4 linked regions of the Arabidopsis thaliana genome follow. The protein of the gene in region 3 interacts with the protein of the main gene of each other region in a pairwise test. Each region holds a gene or a part of one and is shown on either strand. Other genes may lie near its edges. The genes, in order: TRFL5, AT3G07340, GTL1 and NF-YA4.

Region 1 (3,736 bases), 6.6 Mb from region 3:
TTTTAATTTTGACCTCAATTTTTTATTTCCATTATGGTCCTTGTGTTGTTGTGTATTTAGCATTTTGTTTTTCTTGGGTCAATCAGCATCACCACGTTTAGGCCACGACATAAAATTGATCCGTTTATTTTTGAGGCTCGCTCGCATCTTCTTCCTCCTTTGGCGCAACCGCTTCTTCCTCTTCTATTCTCACAGATTTCTCTAAGCTCCCAACTTTGGAGCTAAAACTCAATCAACACTACTCACAATGCTACTCCATTTCTCTCCGGCGAAACCCCTCATTTCTCCACCCAATCTCCGCCGCAATTCACCCACATTCCTCATTTCCCCGCCGCGATCTCTTCGAATTCGAGCAATCGACGCCGCCCAAATCTTCGATTACGAAACCCAACTCAAATCCGAGTACCGCAAATCCTCTGCTCTCAAAATCGCCGTCTTGGGTTTCGGCAATTTCGGCCAATTCCTCTCCAAAACCCTAATTCGACACGGCCACGATCTAATCACTCACTCCCGCTCCGATTACTCCGACGCCGCAAACTCAATCGGAGCTCGTTTCTTCGATAACCCTCACGATCTCTGTGAACAACATCCCGACGTTGTCCTCCTCTGTACCTCAATCCTCTCCACAGAATCAGTCCTCAGATCATTCCCTTTCCAACGTCTCCGTCGTAGCACACTCTTCGTCGATGTTCTCTCCGTTAAGGAATTCCCAAAAGCCCTCTTCATTAAATACCTTCCTAAGGAGTTTGACATTCTCTGTACTCATCCAATGTTTGGACCTGAGAGTGGTAAGCATTCTTGGTCTGGCTTGCCCTTTGTCTACGATAAGGTGAGAATCGGAGACGCAGCTTCAAGACAAGAGAGGTGTGAGAAGTTTCTAAGAATTTTTGAGAATGAAGGTTGCAAGATGGTTGAAATGAGCTGTGAGAAGCATGATTATTACGCAGCTGGATCGCAATTCGTGACGCATACTATGGGAAGGGTTTTGGAGAAATATGGAGTTGAGTCTTCGCCGATTAACACCAAAGGTTATGAGACGTTGTTGGATTTGGTGGAGAACACATCGAGTGATAGCTTTGAGCTTTTCTACGGTTTGTTTATGTATAATCCGAATGCTCTTGAACAGTTGGAGAGATTGGATATGGCTTTTGAGTCTGTTAAGAAGGAGCTGTTTGGGAGATTACATCAGCAATACAGGAAGCAAATGTTTGGTGGGGAGGTTCAATCGCCCAAGAAAACTGAGCAGAAATTGCTCAATGATGGTGGTGTTGTTCCTATGAATGATATATCATCATCATCATCATCATCATCATCATCATCTTAAGATCACAAGTTTGATTGGATTATGCTAGATTCAAAAATAAAAAGTTGTGACTTTTTTGGAAAACGTCAAGAGTGGAAAATAAAAAAGGGATTTTGGTGTGTTCATATGTATGTTGGGGTCTCTTTTGGCTTGGTATCAATAAACTTGTCTTTTTTTCTCTAAATGTATCTGTGGAAATGCTTATCCCTCTGGTCGCCGGAAACAAATACGGACAAATTGTCTCCTTCTCCGGCCATATTTGTATTGGATCAACATTGTATTGCTCAAAAGTCATTACTGTTTTTCTCTGTCTCCAATGATCTCGGGTCACCCACCCGATTCGGATCAGGACAACATCGTTTCGTTATGGGCCGATTATATAATGGGCCGCTTGAATGTCTCGTCTTATTTAATTAAAAGAAAAAAACACATTTTAAATTTGAATGATTCACACGTGTGTTGTTGCCACCATAGTTGGTCGGAGCTTTTCCTCTTCCCAAAATTGTAACCCTAACCACGCACCGACGGCGAAAACTGATCGCGGGTTTTCGCATCTTTTACTTGCAAAGTCTTGGAAATGGAAGTGATGGACAAATGGGTAGCTGAATTTTTCCTCCGACGCCAACTAAATCCTAGGGTTTACGCTTTTCCACTGTTATCGGCTCTGAAACCAGTAGATTCCGACGACTGTGTAAAACTCAAGCTAACTGCTGTTTTGCGGGATATCTCCAATTCCATGATTCAAGGTACCGTAGACGAAGGAATGCTTGATCTCCTCGAAATTCTTGAGAAGCTTCTGTTACAGGAACATTCGGTTATCATGGGATCTCTCAAATCTGCGTATTGCTGGACTGCTGTGGAATGCACGCTTAGGTTTATGTGGCCAGTGAATGCTTCGGATGGCTTCTTCGGTGATGCCCTTGAGAGGATTTGGAGGAATCGGATTGGGACATTGAAGGAGAAAGAGAGCGACTTGGTGACTCGTGAGTTGTTGAAATGGGAGAGTGATCTAAACAAGGCGTTTGAGGAACCTGAGATTTACCAGAAGATTCGTGAGACTAACATCAGGTACAATGCCATCTCTCATCTTAATCAGCTTCTCAAAGAGCAGTGGGCACTACTTGGATGTTCTTCTCTTGAATCAGAAGCTCGAAAGAGGTTTCTTAAGCGTAAGGATTCACCATATGCTTCCCGGAGAGGAGGTAATAGAGAGAAAGCTAATGATGTTGAAGAAGTGGGTGGTGTGGAGAATCCTGATGGGGTTGGTAAGGTGAATGAACATGAACAGGAACACGAGCCAAGTCTTAATAAGGGGGAAATGTTGGTAGCTCGAGAGCTTAAGGATTTTTTGTTGGAGATTCAAAGACTCATCGACCCTATAACAAGGCAAGATCAAGAACCTAACAATGCAATGGAGCATTCAGTTGATGTCACTCCTCAGCCTGATGGGGCAAATAGGACTGATGCAGAAGATAGTGAGGGAACATCATCGTCTAGAAGAGTCAGGCCTCATCTACCAACCCCGGAACCTCTGAATGTATCACCGTTGAAGAAAGGAAGATTAGAAAGACCGCGTCCCAGAAGGCCAATGAAATTCTGGACTTCTGAAGAAGTGGCAGCTTTGAGGGAAGGAGTTAAAGAATATGGAAAATCATGGAAAGATATCAAGAATTCATACCCTGTTGTTTTCGCTGATAGGAGCGAGGTGGATTTGAAGGATAAGTGGAGGAATTTACTTGGTCGTCAGTAGTAGGAATCTTACCTTCTAACTTATGGGCATTTTGGTTTTGGGATCTTGTGTAGTTTTGCCGCTTGTGTTAGAAAGGGACTCACTTTTTGTACGGTGAAGGCTTTAATATGTTCTTGATTCAGGCTCTTGTAGTTAGTGTCAAGCTTTAGACGATATTTCTTGTTCAAAAATCTATTGACCAGTTGATTACAAAATGGAATGATTTTAAATATTTGGTCCTATAATCAAATCAAGCAAGCTCTGAAACCCATCTCTAACTCCTCCCGGTTCAAATTCTTGCCGATGAAAACAATCTTGTTGGTTCTTGTTTCATCTTTTCTCCATAACCGGTCAGGTGATCCTTCAAATATTTCATGAACTCCCTGTTCCAACCATTATAAACCACAAACGTCAGAGATAATTTACATCCCAAGGCTTCGATGCTTTAGAATTCATCCGAAATGATCAAAATAATGACAAAGGTTGGTCACCTGAAACACGAATCTCTCGTCCATGTCTTGTACGGAGAGGATACCTTTCATTCTGTAGATATCCTCACTACGTTGGTACAATAGCGCCCCAAGCCACATGTTAGCCTGATCCATTTTCAAAACTAAGGTTATAGATGATGCAAGTAATCAATCGCACATCTCAACAATCGTTTTAATTATAAGTAACACGTCAGGTGCTACAGTTTTATGCAT
Region 2 (5,134 bases), on a different chromosome or scaffold from region 3:
GATTTGATGTTTGTGAATATGCTGTAGTACCTATTATATTTGTTGGAAATAGTACATTTGAGCAAATTACACACATGTAATTTAGCACAAAGATAGTTGTCACGCTATGTAACTCCTGCCGAAAAAAACTCAATACCAACTTTTTGGTTTCAATGTTAAATCGTATTCCAACCAAAAACTGCATACTAACATTTCATACGCTTTAACAAATAATTAAATACCTTTTCCAAAAATAAATAAGGAAATAATACACATAAATAAACTACAAAATCTCACCTAACATGCAGAAGCTATATAGTTTTGATAATTGAAATAAGAAAATTTACTTAGTATCTATCAATTTTTGCAACACACTGTTGTTTTTCCTTCACCAAAAATGTGTATTTTCTAGGAATGATCTGTCCTTGTTAGCTTCTTATCACATACAAACTCTTTATAAGAAAACCGAATTATTTTTTCGTTTTCAAGAGTTTGATGTTTTTTTGTTACAAGAACTGAATGGGTTTGATAAAAACAGTCTTGTTGTTCGGAAGAATTATAGCTATAGTACTTATAGTGGGGTTAAAACATACAATGATATTAAATCCAAACAAGAAAAGTTTAAAGAATCTGATAAGAAGAAGAATAGCGGATAACAACATGACAATACAATTGAGCACCACAAATGAATCGGAAGGATAAAAAGAAGAAGTTATGTATATGAAGATGATTATAGAAATGAATTCGCATATGGTGTGGTCCAATTCAAATTTCTTGTTATGTACACCCATCAATCCTTTTCTTACTTTCTATCCTCGAGACCTTTAAAACGCCAATATTTTTGTAAAAATGCATATAGTGGTTGATCAAAGTTCAGCTTTCATGTGCGATGGTACTTGGTTTGATGAACCTGCATATATAATAGTACAATTTATACATATCATATCTAAACGGTCCTGCCTATATAATGAAATGGAAAGAAAAAATATGATTTAAATATTCTTACCTTGGTTCAATTCTTGGAGACGGTTTTGCGCAAAACCCATATGAATAATGCTATGTAAATCATCTTCGGAAAATGTTGAATACTAAAAACAAAACCAAAAAGGGTTAAGACCGCTTCAAATTGAAGAGAAAAAGAAAAGAAAAGTGATAGAAGAATGTTTTAGAAAAGGAAACCTGAGAAATAGAGTCAGTGAAATGAGCAAGTGTTGGTAAGTGAGAAATGAAGCTTCTAGTTTCAGAAGTTTCCAAAGGGTTTATTACGTTATTAGAAGAAATATCAGGGTTCAATTGCAAATTTTTGTTGTGATGATCACCCAATAACGTTTCTGCTGAAGAATCTAATTGAAGTACTTGTTGATGATGCATTAGATTGTTGCTTGAAGGAAATATCTGTCAGAAAACAAAAGAAATTAGTTTAAACAAACACACGATTGGTTCACAAAGACAAAAAAGTAATTATTATTACAATAATTGTCAATTAAAATTACTATAAATGTTGTGACGGTGACTTACATCCTTAGACAAGAGAGCGTCCATGTTAAAGTCCAGCCTGGTGTTCACTGACGATAACTTCATCGACAAGAACTGCACCATATTTGAAATTAAAATTAAGAAACAAAAATTATTCGAAGTCGTGTAGTTGTTTTAAAAAGTGATTATGAAATAATGGAAAGAGTTTAAAGTAGACCAATAATCTAATGAGTAATTACCTCAACTTGTCGTTGCAATGATTGGACATAGTTTATAATTTCATCCAACATCAGTGCTTTTCCAGTAACCTTTAAAAAGTAAATTTGTTATTGCTCTAATCACAACTATATTAGTACAACTAAAAACGAGTTAATTAGTTGTTTAATCAAACTCTCACCTTGTTGCATCCAGGGACAAGATCTTGAAGCAGCTTCATTCTTTCGCTTATTTTCTCTCTTCGAACCTTTTTAATATCGAAATCACAACAACACATTGAATACAAAGCATGATTAATTCAACTAATCAGGACGTAATTAAACATTAAGATTAAAATCAATAAATTTGGTAAGAAAATAGGAAATTGACTGACTCGTTCGGCGAGACTGTGACTATCGGTGGCTTGGCCTCGTCGAGCTCTAACATGAATGTAATCTTTGTAAGGATCAATTGATTTAGTTTTGTCTCCATTTTCTTCTGATTTTTTGCATCTCTTTGGATCAGAATCTTCCTTCTCTTCAATCTCCTGATAATCAAACTAAAATTAGTATTTGTTTAAACCAAACAAAAAATGGGTTTATTCGAATGTGAAGCTTCATTATGAACCTTTGATGATGAAACTGCAGAAGGAGAATTCTGCTTGGATTTAGTTTTTCTTTTCCGGGAAAGTTCACCGGACGATTCGCCGGCGGGAACATGAGACGCAAGAGGCTTAAAAACTGGGCTGCTTGATACACGTGGCATTTTCTCATTGGTTGTGATGGGTGGTTCGTTATTAATCGGAAACGGCGAGTTTGTTCTGCTGTTAAAACTCCGGCTACCAAAACACGAGAACCTCGCCGCTCTCTCAGCGAATCCCGGGTCGCCGGACAGTTCTGCCATCGGCGTCGTCGTTTTCGTCTCCATCATACTTCCAGGCGGTGGAGAGCTCATCGGAGTTGCGTAACACGAGTTTCCATTGCTCGCCGTAATTCCATAGATATCGCCGATATTACCCAGTTTCCCGATGAGCTCTCTCATAATGACATTTTCTCCACCTACTCCGCCAACCGAAAAGTTTGAATTTGACGGCGTAGGAGAAGAGACGAGTGAGCTCAGAGCCGAATCAAAAATGCTCTGTTCCGTTGACTTTTCCCAAAACAGATTGCGACTGAGACTTGGATCCACTGGCTGAGTCTCCATTGAAACCCACTTAAGCATCGCCGACGAAGAAGACGGTGACGTCATCACCGGCGGATGCGAAACTCCTGCATTCATAAACAGCTCGTTCTCCATGAAGCTCCTCAATTCTACGGTACGGACTACGGAAGATGAAAATCAAAAGTATATATTCGAATTCAGGTAAAAAAATCCTAAAGTAAGCGTGTGATTAATTAAAACCAGATCAAAGATTCGTCCAATAGAAGATAAAAGTTTGTAATTTTCTTAAAGTGAAGAACAGAGGAAAAGGGAAGCTCGTTAATGGGCAGTAATGAGGAGTTTATATAGTTGTTTAATAAATTTATATTAATAAATTGCACCAATCAATGACTTTCTTTCTAATAAATGGACAAAAAATAAAGTAAATATTAAATAAAAATTTCTGTGTCGGACCGGACCGTAACGAGAGGAGGACTTTCGACGTTAACACGATATCGCTAATGAAACGTCTTTACCAAATGAGATAATTGGAGAAACAAGCTTCTAAATACAGTATAAAATAAGTGTGAAACTATTAAATAGTACGAAACAATCTTAACGTTCTTTAAGATGTCAAAAACAAATCTGGTACTAATATCAAAAACCGGTAAACGAATAACAAACTACTTTTGACGAATGGGTTCCCTTGTCGAAGTTCCTTAACCATCGCCGGTTCTTTTGTTGATTTGTATGTCAACATGTTTAACTCTTTCTTTGTTCGAATCAAGAAAAAGACAAGGAAAAATCTTGATTTTATAACATGTTTCAAGTAGGCAGTTTCAATGAGGCAATTTGGTTTGTTCATGCATGTAAGTGAGCTAAATTTTTAGTTAGATGGTTTTATGTTCGTTCTTGCATCATGATAGTCTCTTGGAAATTACTCTCATATGGTCATGTGGATCATACGGTTTGGTTAGAAGTAGAACTTAGAAGGATTTGCCGTTCTGTATAGATTAGTGCTTGACTTGGTGAGATTTCTAAATTTCTAATTGACCATATTACGTATATTGCTAGTCGTCTAAGAATAAGAAAATCAACATAATACATCAATAGATATATCTAATATTTAAGTTTACAGAAAGATACAAATAGATGTCCGAGTTTAATTGAAAAGTTCATTGGTTTCAAACATGTCCCAGATCATAGGTTTACGTTTGTGGTGACACGTTTCAATAACATATCACCGACTTTTTACGTAAGAAAAATATGACATATACTAGTATAAGATAACCTTAAGCGCCGTCAAAAGGATAATATACACGTTCGGCTTTTCTCCCATACAGCTACATTCAAATTCGGATCAGATCTCGGATCACACAAATAATACTTCCCACGCCTACGTCACGCATGATGAAAATAGTGGTCAATAGCCCAACATCGACTATAAACACTACAGAGATTATTATTTAGCTGGGCTTTTAACTTCTAACATAAGTATGGGCTTTCAACTTATAAGCCCACTTACGAATTTAAACGGGATCCATCCTCGGGAGAGAATTGGAATGGGCTCCCCTATAATATCAATTATCTACAACTTTTTTTTGCTAAAAATTATCTACAACTTATAACATCGATTTAGAATTTGATAAATAGTTAAATACTTATAAATCTCTGGATCGGGTAATTTAATGATGAATAGATAACATCGATATTTTCATATTTTGGTGACAATATTCGCATAATTGTTCGAAAGAATAAAATATATACATCACCACTTACACAAACAATTATGTAGGTGATGCATAATTGTTTGCCAAAATTCCTGTTTGTAATACATTATGTACAACATATGTTATTTTCTTTACCCAAAAAAAAAAAAATACATTATATATAACATGGTTTAGGAAAGATGCTTGATTTTCGTTTAAACCGGCTTTTTGGCATTTTATCCCAAGTACTTTGTTCTAAGACGAGCAGAACTTTCACGTATTCATTAGAATTATGAATAATCCATTGACTCTTCGCGTTCAGATAAAATTTCAATAGCATACAAAAAAACGGATTTGGGTCTTTTATTAATAATACTACTACTATACTGCATGGGGCGACGAGCATAAATAGACACCAAACAACAAAACCCACTTGTCATGTTCTTGTTCTTACAAAAGATTATTAGATATTGTCACTTGTTCGTTACCTCATTCTAAAGAACTCTTCACACCTCCCAAATCCCAACTTTTCCTTCCATTAAATTAAGAAAAGTTGTTCGGTCAGGTTCTGTTTCACTCGAATATGAGTTTCAGTTGGTGTATTTTATCCCCTCTTCACTTTTGATGTTGGAAAA
Region 3 (5,669 bases):
GCTTTTGTGTGTTTAAGATTAGTGTGTTAATCAAAGTCTTAATCAAAACTCCCTCATGAGATCTAGATCTCTTATGTAAAAAGAGAGATTCATTCAGTCAGAAATCAAGGAAGGAAACTCCGTGAGCATGTTCTTACCACCTCGTATAATTATATTCTTATTATACTTGTACTAATATTAAAGTTGTATAATTAGGAAAAAAAAGAACATATCACATGTAATAAGTAATAAATATAGTGAAAAAGGAGAGGCATGTGAAAGTGGGGGGAAGAAGAAGAGAAGACAGCTGTGTATCCGCCGCTCTCTCTCTTTCTTTCCCCTTCAAGAAAGTTCTCCACTTCCACCGCCCACCTTCTTCTTCTTCTTCACCTTCTTCTCTAACCATTATTATTAATTAGCATCTTTCATTTTGTTGTTAGAAGGAAATAGTTTGTTTTCCTTTTTTGTGTATAACTAGAAATGAGCGGTGTGTTTTTGTGTAGAGTGTGATTTGGTAATGAAAATGAGTTTTTTTTTTATTTTGTGTATGTTTGTGTAGGTGAGAGGTATTAAAGAGTTGTATAATGTGATAGTATGAGTGTCTGCATCGATGTCTTGAGTTTGCAACTAATTTTAGATATGAGGCTATTCAATTTTTGATTGATCACTTATGTCTATCTTCACCACAGCTTTACTATCTCAAAAAATGTACTTATTTTCATTATTTTTCACCTAATTGTTATAAGGTTTCTTTATTAGTTTGTTATCTTGTACTTTTGTCGAAAATTCTGGTTACCACCAATACATAAAATCATCATCTTGACTTTTGTTTTGATTCACATATATATGTGCAAAGGAAATTAACAGTTTCATTTTTAATTAAAAACCAAACGAGTTACTAAAAAAAAAAGCGATGTCAAGCTATCAACATTTAACTAAACGAATGTCTTATTTTTTGGAGAAAAAAATAAATTCAAAGAACATATCAAAGATCACTTGACGTCACGTTTGTTTATTTATGGGATTTTGCAGACCATGCATGTTCTTGATTCCAAATTATGCCAACATACAAGAATCACTTGTAAAATTGTAGCGTCCAAATGAGTCTAGCAACTTTGTTATCGTGACCAAGCCATCATATCAATTCATGTATGCTAAATTCGCTGCAAATTCAGTAAAAAGTATGTTTAAAATGACATAAACGAAATCTGTTATAGTGTTGGTAGTGAGTGGGTTTGGCTTTGGCTTCGCATAAACTAATGCATGGGTCAGGTTATCGATCCGACCTGCCAAGATAGTTCCGAGTTTAAAATTACATGGTTATGTTAATTAATTATGCACTATGTATGATTCATAAAATAATTTCACTGGCTTTGGACTTACTATTTTTTTCTTTTCTTGACATCACTAAAACACTATTGTTTGATATGTTTCTATAAATGTATTATTTACACAATAACAAAAAAAAAGAGAGAAAGAAACTGTTGAATTGGAGAGGAAAGAGAGTGGGGGGAAAGATGTCAAGGCTGGTCCAGCTCAAATCGGGTAAAAACTATTATCAAATTCCAATTCTGTCCCTCCCTTTCCCCAAAAATCTGATTGTCACATACCCTACCAATCAGACAACGCCACGTGGACACCTTAGACATGATGGTGGGAGAGGACAACAACATGGGAGGCACATGATTTTGTGTTTATTATATTTCTCCAAAACACAATTTTTACCCAAAAACAATTTAATCGGATCACTGAGCAATGAGATGTTTGCGGATCCAAATTTAACTTTTAAAGCCTTCCTTACTCTTTGCTTTATAACAATAATAATAATACACATAAAATTGGATTTAATTAAATAGATGTGGACCTTTTTTTCTAAATAATATAAAAGAAGGAAGAAAATAAAATAAATAAAGAAAAAGAGAGAGTGAAGAAAAGTGGGTTTAACAATAATTTGCTGCAAAGTTAGAAGAGGCTTCAGCTTTATTAACTTCTTGTTTGCTTTCATTCTCTTTCTCTCTATCTATCATCATCATCCTCGTAATCCTCTCCTTTCTCCTTCAGACCCCTCCTAGTTGCTGTTTAAACAAACAAAAAAAGACTGCTTCTCTTTCTTATTTCTCTCATCATCATCATCAATGGTTTTATGAGATTTATATCAAAAAACATTGAGGAGCTAGAGAGAAAGAGAGAGTGTGTGTGTAGAAAAAGATTGAAACATCATCAAGATTGATGGAGCAAGGAGGAGGTGGTGGTGGTAATGAAGTTGTGGAGGAAGCTTCACCTATTAGTTCAAGACCTCCTGCTAACAACTTAGAAGAGCTTATGAGATTCTCAGCCGCCGCGGATGACGGTGGATTAGGAGGTGGAGGTGGAGGAGGAGGAGGAGGAAGTGCTTCTTCTTCATCGGGAAATCGATGGCCGAGAGAAGAAACTTTAGCTCTTCTTCGGATCCGATCCGATATGGATTCTACTTTTCGTGATGCTACTCTCAAAGCTCCTCTTTGGGAACATGTTTCCAGGTCTCTCTTCCTCTCTTCTCTTCCATTTTCATCAATGGTGTTTCTTGATAGAGATCCATTTGCATGTGTTTTTTTTTTGTTAACTTTTTTTTTTTAGTGTTAGGTATATATAAATAGTAATATATTCGAGATCAAAGCATCTTCACCATCCCCAAGAAAAATTAAAAGAACTGTTTGTTTATTACAGAAGTTGGTTCATGAGTTTCTGGGACGTTTTCGATTTTGAAAATCCCAAGACTCTCTTTACTTCCAAAAAAAAAAAAAAAAAATCCGATCGAACAGTAACCATAAAAATTTTCCAGCTAATAACGACAACCAAAAATAAAATAAAACTAGAGAATCTGAATTATTTTCATGTTTTTGGAAACAGGAAGCTATTGGAGTTAGGTTACAAACGAAGTTCAAAGAAATGCAAAGAGAAATTCGAAAACGTTCAGAAATATTACAAACGTACTAAAGAAACTCGCGGTGGTCGTCATGATGGTAAAGCTTACAAGTTCTTCTCTCAGCTTGAAGCTCTCAACACTACTCCTCCTTCATCTTCCCTCGACGTTACTCCTCTCTCCGTCGCTAATCCCATTCTCATGCCTTCTTCTTCTTCTTCTCCATTTCCCGTATTCTCTCAACCGCAACCGCAAACGCAAACGCAACCGCCTCAAACGCATAATGTCTCTTTTACTCCTACTCCACCACCTCTTCCACTTCCTTCAATGGGTCCGATATTTACCGGTGTTACTTTCTCGTCTCATAGCTCATCGACGGCTTCAGGAATGGGGTCTGATGATGATGACGACGATATGGACGTTGATCAGGCTAACATTGCGGGTTCTAGTAGCCGAAAACGCAAACGTGGAAACCGCGGTGGAGGCGGTAAAATGATGGAATTGTTTGAAGGTTTGGTGAGACAAGTAATGCAAAAGCAAGCGGCTATGCAAAGGAGTTTCTTGGAAGCTCTTGAGAAGAGAGAGCAAGAACGTCTTGATCGTGAAGAAGCTTGGAAACGTCAAGAAATGGCTCGGTTAGCTCGAGAACACGAGGTCATGTCTCAAGAACGAGCCGCCTCTGCTTCTCGTGACGCCGCAATCATTTCATTGATTCAGAAAATTACTGGCCATACCATTCAGTTACCTCCTTCTTTGTCATCTCAACCGCCTCCACCGTATCAACCGCCACCCGCGGTCACTAAACGTGTGGCGGAACCACCATTATCAACAGCTCAATCTCAATCACAACAACCAATAATGGCGATTCCACAACAACAAATTCTTCCTCCTCCTCCTCCTTCTCATCCTCACGCTCATCAACCAGAACAGAAACAACAACAACAACCACAACAAGAGATGGTCATGAGCTCGGAACAATCATCATTACCATCATCATCAAGATGGCCAAAGGCAGAGATTCTAGCGCTTATAAACCTGAGAAGTGGAATGGAACCAAGGTACCAAGATAATGTACCTAAAGGACTTCTATGGGAAGAGATCTCAACTTCAATGAAGAGAATGGGATACAACAGAAACGCTAAGAGATGTAAAGAGAAATGGGAAAACATAAACAAATACTACAAGAAAGTTAAAGAAAGCAACAAGAAACGTCCTCAAGATGCTAAGACTTGTCCTTACTTTCACCGCCTCGATCTTCTTTACCGCAACAAAGTACTCGGTAGTGGCGGTGGTTCTAGCACTTCTGGTCTACCTCAAGACCAAAAACAGAGTCCGGTCACTGCGATGAAACCGCCACAAGAAGGACTTGTTAATGTTCAACAAACTCATGGGTCAGCTTCAACTGAGGAAGAAGAGCCTATAGAGGAAAGTCCACAAGGAACAGAAAAGGTACAAACTTTGCTTTTCCTTGTCAAAATGTGATTGGTTTAATGTTCTTTGATAACTGAAATATGATTTGTTGGAATTGAAGCCAGAAGACCTTGTGATGAGAGAGCTGATTCAACAACAACAGCAACTACAACAACAAGAATCAATGATAGGTGAGTATGAAAAGATTGAAGAGTCTCACAATTATAATAACATGGAGGAAGAGGAAGATCAGGAAATGGATGAGGAAGAACTAGACGAGGATGAGAAGTCCGCGGCTTTCGAGATTGCGTTTCAAAGCCCTGCAAACAGAGGAGGCAATGGCCATACGGAACCACCTTTCTTGACAATGGTTCAGTAAAATCAGAATCATTGTTTCAAGAAAATGTACTTATGTGTGCATAGTTTTCTAAACAAAACACCCAAAAACACAAAACACAAACACACACACACACACATCTGACACCACAAACTGAAATATCAAGGTCTCATCGATCTTCGATTTTTCAGTGAATACAATTCTTTTTCACATTCTTTCCCTTTTGTTCTTTTCTTTCTCACTGTCTCTTGTTTGTTTCTTCTTGTTCATTGTTTTCTTCTTCCAACCCCCACATGAACAAAAAACTCTAGCTAAAAGGTCTTTTAGATTATTTTGGAGTTGTAATTTCATCAGCAAGTCTCACACTTTTTTTTTTTCTCTTAAAACATTTGTTGATTGGTTAATTGGGGAATAAAGAGTCTTTATTTTATTTTTTCTTCCTTTAAGGTAAGAATTAGAATCATTTAGTTTATCAGACAAAGATAAACATATATGACTGATTATTACTACTATTTGAATTGATATATGACAAAGATTGGTTTATTCACTTTGCTTTTTTGACTGAGACTCAAAGCCATAAGTAATTGAGAGGAGAAGAAGAAGAGAGAATCTGTGTGTTTTTATGTTTAATCCTTTTTGCGGCGCCCACAAAAACAATCCGATAAGCCATTATTCATTTTTGGTGTCACTATCAATTAAACAGGGTCGCTCAAAGTTTTGTTCTTTTGTTTCAAACTTTATTTTTCTTACAATCAAAAGCATGTGCAGGCTTTTGTACTTACAACGACAAGACTCGTGCCACTCTCATGTTAACTCATTTTTCATCTCTCTGTTTTTTTTCTATAACTTTTTTCTTTACCTTCAAAAAAACTGTATCAAAAAGTAAAAAACTACTCGTGTAAATTTACAAAATAAAAATAATGGTTTGAGAATATAGAAAGATGGATTGAGACAGCATGATCACACCAAAAAAAAATAAAGAAGAAGAAGAAAAAGAAAAGATTCTGTATCTTTTTGATAGAGAGAGTAATAATGGAGGAA
Region 4 (4,367 bases), on a different chromosome or scaffold from region 3:
TTTTTAGTATTTCTATTCTAGATATATTTTTGGTAATAAAGCTAGATTTGACAATATGATTGATGTTAAATTTAAGATTTATATGACAACTATAACAAGAGGTATTTCTAAATCTAAGTTTTACTTAATTTTTCTCTATAATCTATTTGAATCAATATACTTTTGAACACCCCTTCGATAAAAATTAGTATATTTATCTTCACAATTATAAAAGAATCTCATCCTTATCTTTCTATCAAATTTATGAATTTGGTCTCATCTCTATCTTTTTCTTTTGCTTTTACTTTGTGTAAGTGGTATTTTTTTTTTTTTTTTGTATCATGGATTAAACTAGATTATGACGGTTTGATCTTGATGGTTGGGGTTTAAGTCTTATTAACTAAAATCGTTCTTTTGAGGCGATCTTTGTAGGAAAAACCAAACTAGGATAGATTTGTGCTCAAATGAACTAACATAGAAATCTAAAACTGAAAATAAGAGACCTCATTAAGCTTATTGCACAAAACAAAAGTATGAGGGGAAAAGATTTAGATTGTCCCCAAGAATAGAATGACTTTAGTTTTGATTTCAAAGAAGGGGATAGACTATGGAGTTAAGTGACAACTCTCTACGTTAGTCTCACTGTTCTCACTACATGATTATATATAAGAGACTACTTGCTCATCTACTTAACCTAATTACATGAACTTGTGTTGGGTTTTTCCAATATCATGAACTTATAATCTTTGGTTTTGTTAGGAATGCTCTTTTAATCTCAGTGCTAAATTATGCTTGATATTTATAACTTTTTTTTTTTTTTTTTATATTTATAACTTTATACGTGCTGACATGCACTTGAGGACTTTGAGGTGTCGAATCAAGAATCATGATGATAAGGAGTTTAGGGATGAAAGCAGACTATATAATCGTATAGGTGATTAAGTAAGCATGGTTATTTAATGACTGCTCAGTCACTTCATTTACTTGTGTATTAATCATGTTTACTAGTTAGTTTTCGTCCATTTCCAAACGCTAATTTGTTGTTCAATGACTGCTCACTCACTTCATTTACGTTAAACGTTTCTTACTTGTCGAATGCATACTTACTTGATTTTGACCTATAGTTACTTGTCGAATACTGTGACCTCGTATAAGTGATCAAAGGCGTTACAACTTTTGGTGGTCTTTTACACATAAGTGATAGTTTTCAATTATTTTTCGAGTCAAAGCAATTAGCAAATACTTTTTTAGGAAAGTTTTTTTTTTCTTTTTTTTTTTTTGGGCAAAATTTTTAGGAAACTTATAAATAATAAGTTACTTATTATGGAATCATGTACTGTTTTTTTCTGAAGTCACTCATCACTCGTTCGTTTAAGTAGGTTTTGTTTTGTCACTGAACCGAAGTCAAACCAATCTAAATACCAAAGCTGGTTTAATGTCTCTGAAATTCGAACAAAACCAAAAGCGAACGGAATCTTCGGTTTCGATACCGACGCTTCTTTGATGACTCACAACGAAAGATATATTTGAGGGCAACGGGCACAAGTAGGGTCAGGCAAAACTAGTGGAGTTGAACAATCGATAACATATTCGGGCAGCTTTTCAGATCTGCCCGTCTTTTCCTACAATCTCGATCGTTGTTTCGACACTTGTCCTCATTGTATTAGCCTCCTTTTCACTGTTGCACATCGTGTCGTTTACCACTCCTACACATTTTCGTGGTTCTGAGTTGACCTATCACTACAGTGTGAGTGGAAAACATGAAAACGGCACGATGTTAATGAATATTAGAGAAGGACGGAGGCTATGAACTGAAAAAACGACATGGTGTGTCCCTCTTGGGTCTAGCCGTTTAGGCCTCTGTTAGTCATTTCGTCTCTTCCTTAGTTAGAACAAAAAAGGAGAGACCTTTAACAATTTTCTGAGGGTAAGATCCAGAGATTGATTGAATCAGCTTACTATTTTATATAATTCAGGTAAATTCTTATGTTTCTTTCCCTCCAGATTTTGAAAGTTTCTAGCTTTTGTTGTTCTGTATCTACTCGTTTCCGGGAAAATGCTTTTGCTATGTATGTTGAGATGTGATAGTAGAGGTTAAGATTGGTTTTTCTCTGTTCTGGGTTTGCTTTAGATTCTAGGGTTGTGATTGAATTCTGATTTTGGGGTTTTGGTTTAGTGAATTCCGATTCTCAAACTCTTGGCTTTGGTACTGACTTTTGTGCTTTGTTGTTGTTTCAGTTTGTTGTTCCTCAGACTTGTAACTAGGACAGTCTTCTCATGAATCATGACTTCTTCAGTACATGAGCTCTCTGGTTTTGTCTCTCTTTCTGACCATTTTCATTATGCTCTCGTTTTATTGTTGTATCTTCCTAACTGATTCTTGGTGGTATGTTTTGCTGGTCAGATAACAATGAAAGTCATGCGAAGAAAGAACGTCCAGATTCCCAAACCCGACCACAGGTTCCTTCAGGACGAAGTTCGGAATCTATTGATACAAACTCTGTCTACTCAGAGCCCATGGTAATTTCTCTCAGCCAAAATCTCAACTATTTGTGCAGGCTACATTCAATGAGTGATCTTTATTTCGATTATATGATATTTGGTTTAGTTTCTGTGTGATCTTGCTCTCGGTTATAATATGTTTGCTTGTGATTCTCTTTTTCAATGCTAAAAGTTTTGTTTTGATGCTTACAATGCCAAAACTTGGTTGTTTGAGATAATTCAAGCAAGAAAGTCCCGGGATCATCGCCTTTCTGCAGTTTTAGACTTCGTACGAATGTAAACTTTGATTGCTTTGAAAATCAGTCTTGAGATGCAGTGTAATGATAATGTTGATTCCAAGTAATGCTAAACTTTTTAACCTGAGATGATACGGTTTTTGTTTTTGTGTGTGTTGGTATTGAAGGCACATGGATTATACCCGTATCCAGATCCTTACTACAGAAGCGTCTTTGCACAGCAAGCGTATCTTCCACATCCCTATCCTGGGGTATGTATTATTTATTACTCAGCCCCAACGTCTCCGGTTTGGAATATTTAGAAAAGCTTTTGTTTTATTTTTAAAGTTTTTTTTTCAGGTCCAATTGCAGTTAATGGGAATGCAGCAGCCAGGAGTTCCATTGCAATGTGATGCAGTCGAGGAACCTGTTTTTGTTAACGCAAAGCAATACCATGGTATACTCAGGCGCAGGCAATCCCGGGCAAAACTTGAGGCACGAAATAGAGCCATCAAAGCAAAAAAGGTAAAATCCTGGCGGGCAAGTGCTGTAATTTGTTTGGTAGAATCCTTCCCAATAAGTTGTAATTTCTTGTTTTCAGCCATACATGCATGAATCTCGGCATTTACATGCGATAAGACGGCCAAGAGGATGTGGTGGCCGGTTTCTCAATGCCAAGAAGGAAAATGGAGACCACAAGGAGGAGGAGGAGGCAACCTCTGATGAGAACACTTCAGAAGCAAGTTCCAGCCTCAGGTCCGAGAAATTAGCTATGGCTACTTCTGGTCCTAATGGTAGATCTTGAGGAAGGTTTCTGCACAACCACAAGTTTAGTTTCTATTTTGGGTGGATGTTCTCAGGGCATCATCGTCTTTAGTGTTTTTGGATACGCTGTGTACAGGTTATTTGCTAGGGTAAACTTTGTTTTAGCGATTAGAAATAAAACTAAGCAAAGAAATGAAAAGTGTGATTGGAAGTATTGTTGTACCAAATTGATATTCTTTGCCAATGAACTCATGTTTTGGAAAGTAAATTAATGTTCTTAGCTTTGTTTGCTATGATTTTGAGGATAACTAACACTGATGATAACTACCACTGTGGATTAGTCCATTGTTAGACTAGACTGTTTATTGGTATTCTTCTATATATATGAAATGCATTCTACAGGATCGGATTTGACGTTGTAATTTAGGAGACAAGTAAAACAAGAATTCTTCCGATCTCATAATGTGGTCAATCACTAGGCTCGTTTTCATTTTTAATGAACACATTGCATGCATATCCGACCATATGCTCTTCCGATGATACATTTTGAATGACACGACATACATTATTTTACAATCACAATTCTCTTTTTATACGAGGTATTGTTTCTTTTCTCGACTTGTAGCTCTGTTTTAGTTTTGTCAAGTCTTTAGACCTGTTTACACCATTTTATTATTATCTTCTTTACCACATATAAACTTAGCCTTTTTCTTATATTCACAAAGAGACCATATTTCACCATTCCATTGATGATATATTGGTTAGATGTGTTGGGATAGAATTTGAAACATTGATTTCTGCGACCAAATGGATTCGTTTTGGGAAGAAGGTAGAATAATCTTAGTTTACCACTTTTTTTTATCCACTAAGCATAATCATTTCACTCCCAGACAGTTTATATTTCTG

Evidence for each region.
Region 1: the proteins of GTL1 (region 3) and TRFL5 interact in a two-hybrid assay, tested with the Arabidopsis thaliana proteins (one large-scale study listed by BioGRID).
Region 2: the proteins of GTL1 (region 3) and AT3G07340 interact in a two-hybrid assay, tested with the Arabidopsis thaliana proteins (one large-scale study listed by BioGRID).
Region 4: the proteins of GTL1 (region 3) and NF-YA4 interact in a two-hybrid assay, tested with the Arabidopsis thaliana proteins (one large-scale study listed by BioGRID).

Annotation. Positions count from the first base shown.
Region 1 is NC_003070.9:5,404,258-5,407,993, forward strand, and holds TRFL5 (TRF-like 5), read left to right. Parts: upstream 1-1,767; 5' UTR 1,768-1,880; coding exon 1,881-3,053; 3' UTR 3,054-3,229; downstream 3,230-3,736. Other genes in the region: AT1G15710 (prephenate dehydrogenase family protein), read left to right, coding at 248-1,324; AT1G15730 (Cobalamin biosynthesis CobW-like protein), read right to left, coding at 3,278-3,415, 3,524-3,628.
Region 2 is NC_003074.8:2,340,343-2,345,476, forward strand, and holds AT3G07340 (basic helix-loop-helix (bHLH) DNA-binding superfamily protein), read right to left. Parts: upstream 3,356-5,134; 5' UTR 2,947-3,355; coding exon 2,278-2,946; intron 2,198-2,277; coding exon 2,045-2,197; intron 1,919-2,044; coding exon 1,853-1,918; intron 1,764-1,852; coding exon 1,695-1,763; intron 1,570-1,694; coding exon 1,498-1,569; intron 1,375-1,497; coding exon 1,159-1,374; coding exon of another isoform or gene 1,090-1,158; exon of another isoform or gene 1,068-1,089; coding exon 986-1,067; intron 890-985; coding exon 846-889; 3' UTR 503-845; downstream 1-502.
Region 3 is NC_003070.9:12,050,860-12,056,528, reverse strand, and holds GTL1 (GT-2-like 1), read left to right. Parts: upstream 1-1,775; 5' UTR 1,776-2,208; coding exon 2,209-2,498; intron 2,499-2,593; exon of another isoform or gene 2,594-2,695; coding exon of another isoform or gene 2,696-2,868; coding exon 2,869-4,330; coding exon of another isoform or gene 4,331-4,363; exon of another isoform or gene 4,364-4,412; coding exon 4,413-4,670; 3' UTR 4,671-5,152; downstream 5,153-5,669. UniProt on the Arabidopsis thaliana protein: Transcription repressor that binds specific DNA sequence such as GT3 box 5'-GGTAAA-3' in the SDD1 promoter. Negative regulator of water use efficiency (WUE) via the promotion of stomatal density and distribution by the transcription repression of SDD1.
Region 4 is NC_003071.7:14,649,152-14,653,518, reverse strand, and holds NF-YA4 (nuclear factor Y, subunit A4), read left to right. Parts: upstream 1-1,809; 5' UTR 1,810-1,955; intron 1,956-2,217; 5' UTR 2,218-2,263; coding exon 2,264-2,291; intron 2,292-2,383; coding exon 2,384-2,499; exon of another isoform or gene 2,500-2,845; coding exon of another isoform or gene 2,846-2,884; coding exon 2,885-2,968; intron 2,969-3,056; coding exon 3,057-3,221; intron 3,222-3,297; coding exon 3,298-3,501; 3' UTR 3,502-3,813; downstream 3,814-4,367. UniProt on the Arabidopsis thaliana protein: Stimulates the transcription of various genes by recognizing and binding to a CCAAT motif in promoters.